2 linked regions of the Canis lupus familiaris genome follow. The protein of the gene in region 1 interacts with the protein of each later gene in a pairwise test. Links are inferred from orthologs where the notes say so. Each region holds a gene or a part of one and is shown on either strand. Other genes may lie near its edges.

The links.
Region 2: the proteins of DAB1 (region 1) and MBNL1 interact in binary tests that used the Homo sapiens proteins (3 or more experiments, as listed by UniProt). The link is inferred for Canis lupus familiaris from reciprocal best matches to the Homo sapiens genes DAB1 and MBNL1.

What each region holds. Positions count from the first base shown.
Region 1 is NC_049226.1:52,847,908-52,852,471, forward strand, and holds part of DAB1 (disabled homolog 1), read left to right. Parts: intron 1-1,004; coding exon 1,005-1,553; intron 1,554-4,564. UniProt on the Homo sapiens protein: Signaling adapter of the reelin-mediated signaling pathway, which regulates the migration and differentiation of postmitotic neurons during brain development.
Region 2 is NC_049244.1:47,458,544-47,463,107, forward strand, and holds part of MBNL1 (muscleblind-like protein 1), read left to right. Parts: intron 1-1,170; coding exon 1,171-1,371; intron 1,372-4,564. UniProt on the Homo sapiens protein: Mediates pre-mRNA alternative splicing regulation. Acts either as activator or repressor of splicing on specific pre-mRNA targets. Inhibits cardiac troponin-T (TNNT2) pre-mRNA exon inclusion but induces insulin receptor (IR) pre-mRNA exon inclusion in muscle.

The DNA.
Region 1 (4,564 bases):
ACTTCGCCTTTTAAAATGGTTATATCTCACCTGAAAGGACTTAGTACAGCCAACAATTAACATGGTGACATATGTGAGTAGACCCTCCGGAGTTTTGGCGTCCCCAACCTATGCCACTGTACAAGGTGCTCCTGAGTAGACAGTCCCTAAAATTGGCATGATGACAATGCAGAAATAATGTGTTCTAATACCTGGAGCTACCACTTATTATATGGCTGCTATGTATCAAGCAAGGTATTAAGTACTTCCTAGGATTTCTCTGATTTAAATCCTACTAATTGCTAACATTTATTGAATGCATACTTGGTGTCAGGTGCAGTAGTCCACCTCAAAAACGTCATCTCCATTTATCTTTAAACCAAGCCCATGAGGCAGACAGTATTTTTTGCCCATTTCACAGATGAGGAGAGAGAGCCCGAGAGAGCTTGTGGAGCTCTCCCTAAACTCCGTAGATAAGAAGCAGAAGAACTCCAAATTTTAACCTAGACCTCAACATCCCCGATACTCTGATTCTTCTTCCCTCAGCACATGTTTTCCATGCTGAAAAGGAAGATCTTATAACCTGGCTTTCTAACCAAGAGCTTGAGGTTTAGAAAGTTTAAGTGTTTGGTCTAGCCAGAAGGGGAGGCAAGATTCAAACCCAAATGTACCCGATGTCTAGTACTCTACCTTTTCCACTGAGACACACCAGCGCCTGAGGCTGTGTGGAGTCAGAAACCTTTAATTATAGCAATATTATCATTATCTCCCAAACACCTGCCCGGCTTGCTCGCTCACTGCATTCTAGTTTTGCTTATGAGTCCCCTTCTTAGGTTTCTCCAGACCGTGGCTCTGGAAGGAACACTCCATTGAAAGCCAGAACTTTCATCTTACTCATCTTTGTGGCCCGGGTCTCTAGCACAGAGCCTGGAACGTAACAACTGCTCAGTATCTTTCTGCCGATCACCTGAATCCATGAATTATTCTTTCCCAGGGTACATGACTCATCTTTCTCACCCTTCCAGGTTATGTTGCAATGGGCGCCGTCCTCCCATCCTTCTGGGGCCAGCAGCCCCTCGTCCAACAGCAGATCGCCATGGGTGCTCAGCCACCAGTCGCTCAGGTGATGCCGGGGGCTCAGCCCATCGCATGGGGCCAGCCGGGTCTCTTCCCTGCCACTCAGCAGCCCTGGCCAACTGTAGCCGGGCAGTTTCCGCCAGCCGCCTTCATGCCCACACAAACTGTTATGCCTTTGCCAGCCGCCATGTTCCAAGGTCCCCTCACCCCCCTTGCAACCGTCCCAACCACGGGTGACTCCACCAGGTCAAGTCCACAGACCGAGAAGCCCAGACAGAAAATGGGGAAAGAAATGTTTAAGGATTTCCAGATGGCCCAGCCGCCACCCGTGCCCTCCCGCAAACCCGACCAACCCTCCCTCACCTGTACCTCAGAGGCCTTCTCCAGTTACTTCAACAAAGTCGGGGTGGCACAGGATACAGATGACTGTGACGACTTTGACATCTCCCAGTTGAATTTGACCCCTGTGACTTCTACCACACCATCAACCAACTCACGTGAGTGCCCTTCTTGGGAGACCTAACTCCAATGAGAGCGATGCCTTGTTTCTGGAGTCACAGAACTCATCTCAGTTCACATTCAGCAGGCATCTTGGTTTATATGACTACTACTAATAATAGCTACCAGTTATGAGGTGCCAATTATACATATCTACCTCGTAACCATTGTTTTCATACTTTTATACTCATAACAATGCTTATTACAGGTTTTGTTAGACCTGTCTGACCAATAATGAGAGTGAGGTTCAAGGACAACGAGAGTAGTTATTTTCCTACCAGTCACTCTGCTTCTAATGTTTTTGTTGATCTGCTCATCTATCCATCCATTCATTCATTATCCCTCCTTATGACACAGATTTTGGTACGGCTTGTTGAAATGGAAATGAATAGTGAATATGAATTTTAAAAGTCTGGGAAATAAGGACAAAAATTAGAGTAGAAAACTAAAATCAAGAGAAAACTTACGGGAAAGAAAGAGCAGCCATAAGATCTCATCCAGCTGGTTTAGTTGAAGCCAGATTTTGGCTCAGGGCTTTGGGTCGTCAAAGAGAAAAAAATGGTAGTGAAGCAGAAATCTCTAGACTGGGAACCTAGAGAGCAGATTTATCACTTCCTAGTTTTGTGCCTATCGGCAAGTCATTTTTGTGAGCCTCAATTTCCTCATCTATCTTAGCCTAAGAGAGATTACAAGGATCAGTGGTACATGTACTGAAACATTGTATACATCACAAATTTTAAGGTATTTTTGTCACCATTATGAATGCATATTGAATAGTTCTGTGTCAAATCCCTGGACCAGAGTTCCAACCTTTGCTCTTCTACCACAAGCTGTGTCTTTGGCCATGTGTGTGACTTTCTTAACCCCAGCTGTGTCATGGGTGAAATGCATTGAGTTGGCTTGGATGATGAGGAGTGTACTTCCTTCTAGTTCAGGCACTCAGTGATTCTTTCCAGATCACTTTTCTACTGTAAGCATCCAAAAAGCCATGACCATGCAGCCAATCAGAATCTAGATACACTTGAGCACACATATGCTCAGAAAAGTGACTGGTAATTCAGCCCATGCCTTTGACAATTGATAGGGAAAAGCAAAAGTCTCATGGAACAATGAGTTTGGCGTTTTCATTACTGTCACAGATGATAGGGATCACTGCTTGGCCAATAGTGAGAATTGTCAAAAAATCTAATGTTAACACAATTAGGTGGTGTTATTTCATCCAGGTTCAGAAGGCAGTTATGAAAATGAATGCCTTTTATGTGTATAAACAACCTACTTCTACTCAGGCCATGTGATCTCCATATGAGGGCATCTCTATTAGCTCCACGTCACAGGGTTTCAGTGAAAAATAATGAATAAAAAATGAAATGCTGGGGGAATGAGAGCCATGCATAAATAAGCAAGCATCTTTTGAAAGCAAGTGTCTCTCTTTCAATGGACTTGCATGCCAGCTATAAATAAAAGGGAAGTTTCAGTTCTTTGAGGACAGGACATATGTCCTAATCACCCGTCTACTTCTTCTAATGCTAGCATAGCATCTAGCGTGTGGGAGACATTTGGGAAAAATCGTAGAGATTGAAATGAACAGAACAAAGGCCATTCAGCTGTGGCTGTGTTTTACAACCTGGGCTTTATTGATATTTGGGGCCAGATAATTCTTTGTTGTGGGGTGTGTGTTGTGCTTATAGGATGATGAGCAGCATCCCTGCCTCCACCCACTAGATGCCAGAAATACATGTCCTGTCCCCTGAGTCTTTATAGTCAGAAATGACCCAAGAAAAAAAGAAAAAAAAAAAAGAAATGACCCAAGATACTGTGAAATGTCTCCTAGGATTTAAATTGCACCATTAAAGAACCACTCTTTTAGATTATTCAGGTATTCTAGAAGAGCCTTCTAAAGGCTAAGACACTTACATAAATGAACCTCTAATTATGCTTCCAAATGACTTCATCTGATAAGTAGGACCGGTACACCTCTCAGACTGGCACCTCAGCCTGTGTTCTCGGCCTCTAGTAAGCAATAAGCCACTTCAAACACAATTTGGAATCCAGTTACGCCAACATTTATTCATTAGCTGTTGGAAATCAGGGTGTTCTCACTTAAACCTGCTAGAACTAGTCTGTTCCATAATCATCTCATAAAACAGACTTCCTTTTAAATTAAAAAAAATAATGTTCTATTGTAAAGAAAATGAGTAAAAACAGTAATTATATCCTTCTATCCATGAGCATCACCTTCAGAATGTTTTGAGTGGAGTTTTTTCATCAGTTGGAACAAAAATCTACGTCAAATTGACATAGACCTCACAGCTGGCCCGACAGTGTAGACAGAGCTGTATTAAATCCCAACACTCCTATTCCGTGGTGCTGGTGACCCTGAGAAAGTCCCTTCACCTTTCAGGGCTGCAGTTTCTTCATCAGGAAAGAAAAATAGGTCCCACACCACTTTGCAGTATGTGTAAATACAAAATGCCTAGCACCCAGCACCGTGCCCAGCTTGCTGGCACACAGTAAATTGTGTTGTTATTCTAAATATAGATCCATCAAGGCGAAAGGTGCTCACCAAGTTTTATAATCACTCTCTGTCTGATAAGCAGCCAGATTTGGGAAATTCTGGGCAGTTATGGCAGGATGGGGGGCCTTATCAGTGGCACTGGAAATTTAGCTACTAAATTAAGCCACATCATCTCCTCACTTGGGGCCGAGCCAGTGACTGGCTTTTCAATGCCAAATTAGAAATTATTGAAAAAAGAATAGCTTCAAATGGCACATTTGTTATAACCTCTGGAACAAATGAGAAGGGGAACTTGTGGGAAGGCCAGGACAGAAGATGTGTATCCTTATGGAGTGATGGATAAAGTGCCAGTGGGGAAGTTGCCAGGAGCTCCCTCCCTTTTCCCACATCACAGAAGCACTCTTCACTCTTCATCCAACACGGGTTTCTCACGTTATCTCCCATGTGCAAGGATACAAGGCCTGGTTCTACCAGTAACCAGCTATGTGGCCTTGA
Region 2 (4,564 bases), on another chromosome or scaffold:
ACAGGATTCATTTTGCCCAGGACTTTGTGGGTTTTGGAGACAAACACTATTATTGCACAAAATCTTAGGCTTCAAGAATTGAATGAAACCCTATTGAATGATGGAAGTTAAAAATATACCACCCATAAGGTGGCAGATTGTTGTGCTACGTTATGCTTTAAAAAAAATGGGAAAAGCAAATTGCCAAAGTAGCTTTCAGGTAAATAATTTAGTTCTACTCAGGAACAAATACATTTCCCGTTACACAAATCTTCGTGTCCCATTTAGTTCTACTCAGGAACAAATACATTTCCCGTTACACAAATCTTCGTGTCCCAGGTAGGAACCATCCTCCTATATCCATGAAAGCATTTCTGGCAGAAATTCGATCTTGTGACTTTTTTTTCGGTGCCACCACGTGTATTTCCTTGCAAAAGCATGTAGCATGTGTTTCGAAGTTTTCTGTTTCAGGCTTCACATTTGGGGTGGTTTCTCCCTAGTAAGGTAAATTTTTTGTTAAGTATTTCACGAGGGTGTGATAAGCTGGTGCGATATTGATAGTTTCTTTAGGAAAACGCACAAGTGAATATGCCAAACGCTTTACCTTATGTGTTCAAAAGAAATTGTGTCATCATCGTCTTTTCACATATCCCCTGAGATTTATTCACAGTTTATATTGACTGCGAAACTCTGTTGCCCACTGGGAGTTCTGCTTTATTTATTCCAGATAATAGGACACTTGCAACCCATTAACAGTTGTAAACAGATCTTTCAAGTTCATCTGACATAGCAATTATAAAATGTGTTTCTCAGATAAGTTTCCAGGATTAAATCAGGACAAAAATGGAGATTAGATGACCACAAGCAATGACTGCATTGAATAAGCGATCTGTTATTCAAAAAGAAATTATAAGCATTATAGACACCGGGTTTCAAAATCCCAGCAGCTAATTGAACGAGTAAATCACCTATTATAGTTTAGAAACACATTGACTTGATGAATACTTATTTAAGAAACATTCTTAGCCTGAGTGAGATTAAATAAACAGAATTAAATGAAAGAAGGGAGGGAGGGACGGAAGGAAGAATGGATGATGGATGGATGGATGGAGGGTAGATATATAATGTGGGATATCAAATACAAGCCAAGACTTGTATATTAAACTTCTGCTTTTTATTTTTTTTTTCCAGCCAATGTTTTCAGTTGCACCAAGCTTAGCCACCAATGCATCAGCAGCCTTTAATCCCTACCTGGGACCTGTGTCCCCAAGCCTGGTTCCAGCAGAGATCTTGCCGACCGCACCAATGTTGGTCACAGGGAATCCCGGGGTCCCTGTACCTGCAGCTGCTGCAGCTGCCGCACAGAAGTTAATGCGGACAGACAGACTTGAGGTAGGAATGATGAGCTGGTTTCTCTATGGACTCCATTCTGAGTTTCAAAGTGTGCTGTTGGTTCATTTCTTCCACGGCCATAAAGGCCAAAAAGAAATTTGAAGTATAGATTTGGGTTGACTATTTGGAGCCTTTTGCTCCAAAAGGAGGAGGTATGGAGGTATGCTGTATTTGACAAATGGAACGTTGATAAAAGCCACAGCAGCCGGATAGTGTAGCAGGGATTAGGGACCCAGACCTTGGGGCCCAGCTGCCCCTTAACTTGGTTTTATCTTTGATTCCTCATCCTCAAAATGGACATAATAATGGCCCTTTCCTCAAAGCGTTAGACCGACATCTGGCACACAGCAAATGCTCCCTGGATGTGCGTTGTTCGTGTTGCTTCTTTTGAGAACAAATTCTTTTCCTCCCCTGACACTTGTTCTCACAACAGTTTGCTCAGTTACAGTGCATCAGGCATTTTAAAATTTATTATTGCAAATTTCCTCACAGGCCTCACAATATTTAGGTTGGAATAGCAAGGCAGCTCCGCTGGTGAAGTGTGCTCCGATGAAAGTTTTTCAGTTGGAAACTGCATCGGGCTCTAGAGTCAAGGATGATCAGATGGATGTGCTTTGCTATTGCAGCATGAAAAAGAAGCGAAAGATCTCATTCTGGTATCAAAGTGGTTGCTCCGAATTTCAGCGTGGCTGTGAATTAATGGATTCGGTAAACTGTAGATTGAAGAAAAACACGGCAACGTTACTGTCCGTGGAAGCTCTAAAACCAGGCATTCGTGTCCAACTGAGGAGCAAAATGACTCTTTGTTCTTTCCCCTCGGTTAGGATGAGGCAACAGTTAGGGCTGAGAAGTTTGGGATGTTGGTAACGACTGAGAAAAAGGCAAAATAAGGCTGTTGTGTGATGAACATAATTGACACTAATGATTTATCAGTTGCGCAGGAATTTACTGAGCAAGCACCGCTTTCTTCTTTATAGGGCTTCACTACATGCATTGCAGAGGATCCCAGAGTTCAGCGCAACTAGAACTGCCACCACCTTTTCTGATGGCAGTAACAGTCGTTGGTGTTTATTGGGTATTGACTTTCTAGCAAACTCGGCCTCAACCCATCTCATGCAGCACATAGTCAGTCTTCAAGACAATCTTCTGAGGAAGACACTGTCATTCACTCCATCTCCCAGGACAATAGATTTAGGGGCAGAGTTGTGGCAAAACTTACTTGAGGTCGTAGGAAGGATGTTCCAGTCTGGTATGAACTTAGGACTCCGTTTTGAAACCCTATATAACTCATTCCCACACAGGTGACAGTTCAGAGAGGAAGCAAGAATTTCTGGCTTCTGGTAAATTCTTTAGGGTTTCTGTTTGTTTGCTTGTTTAGCTTGAGCTCTTACCTTCCTGAACATTTTGGGAAAAGCTGCTAATGAAGAGAGCACCATGCGGAGAACTCAGAAAGGACTTTGAGACCTAGTTGCACGCTCCCCGTGGACCAAGGACTGCTGTGTGCTAGAGATGCACTTCGACTTGTGGGTGGTTTGTCATCGTGCGGTTGCACTTGCTCATTAGCAAGCTAGTGCTGTTTGCAGATAAATTATGAGGAAGTTTAGGAGATTGTAAATATTTAAAAATTGCTGGATGCTTCATATGTGACTCACCTTCCCCCTGCCCCGATCTTTTGGAAGCACACCCTGGGTTCATAATGCATGATTGTTGACTGAAGGGGACCCAACAGGCAACCTGAGATGAACTTTGATGAATTAGTTATTAAACAGGAGACGATATTTAGGAAGCTTACAACTCTCTATTGAAATCTCTTACGAGGCTGAGCTGTGTGGTCAGAACTCTTAGAAACGAAGCTTCCCACAGTTTGAGGTAGTCTGTAATTGGTTATATTTTGTATAATGGTTAATTAAAATTAGAGTACTTTTGTCATTGGTTTGGGGTTTCTGTCTTTTTTCTTTTCTTTCTTTTCTCTTTCTCTCTCTCTCTCTCTCTCTCTCTCTCTCTCTTCTGCGAGGAGCTCCTCTGTGTATTTTGTCCGTCGTCTTCTGCTGTGCTCACAAGTGGCTACTGCTGTATGACTGTCATTTCCTCTTAACCCGAATTCCTCTTATCTAACTGCTTGCTGGTGGGAGGGCAGCTTCCTATCTCATTCTGGCTAACAGGATCTGCTCTAGTGTCACAGTGAGAATCTGCTAGCATATTGCAGTGGGAAGCTCAGGGGCCCGTCTTTCTGCTCGGCCCTGAGATCTGAGACACTCCTATCTTCAGGTTCTTTCCTCTGGTGCTGATCGCACAGCATACTGGGACTTAAATGGTGTGGCAAGAAGTGCACACGCTTATTTGCCAGTTGGTCACATGTCGAGTTATTTGGGTTTAAATCTCTACTTTGTCCTCATGGGACTCAGAAGTACATGTTTGAATTCTGAGTTCCTTTTAAGGTGAAAAAAGTTTAAATTTGTTTAAATATTGGCCAACTGTTCTTGCCGCCTCTTTCTCTCTTTTTGCTGCACATTGTTAGGCCATAAGGAAATTAAAAATCCCATAGATTATCAGCCTTCTGGTTCTTCTGTTCGGAAGAACTGATGACTTATTTATAGCACCTGATGTGAGGCTACCAAAAATGTTGAACAACAGGAACCCAAGAATTAGTGTTAGTGTTTTTGCTAATTAGGCGAGTAGCCTTGGGTCAAGTTTCTCATCTCTTCTGAGCTTCATTTTCCACATATATGAAATTAGAGGATTGAACGAGATAATCTGTAAGATTGCCTCCAATTAGAACATTCTATGGAACATTTAGGTTGTCTCTTTGCTTTTTATGCCAGCTTATAAGTTATTGGAAATTTTATTTATAACATTTTAAATAAGTATATTTAAATATATTGTATTAATTGTAATATATAAATATACATTTTATTAAATATATAAATGTAAAATACACGCATAAACTTTGTATCAGTATCTCTATTATCCATTCTTCATTTGATACCTTTTGGGAGACTTTGTGGCTGCATACCTTCTATACTGTAAAATTCAGTCTTTATGGTAGTCTTTAAAAAGGAGCAAACCTCTTACATATTGGTCACTGAAATGAGGCTTTTAAAACTCCATTTCGGGACTTTGGCATACCTTTTCATAATTTCCAAGCAGCAGTTTATTTTCAGGGGTTATTTTAAAAAATTGTTAAAATCTATAG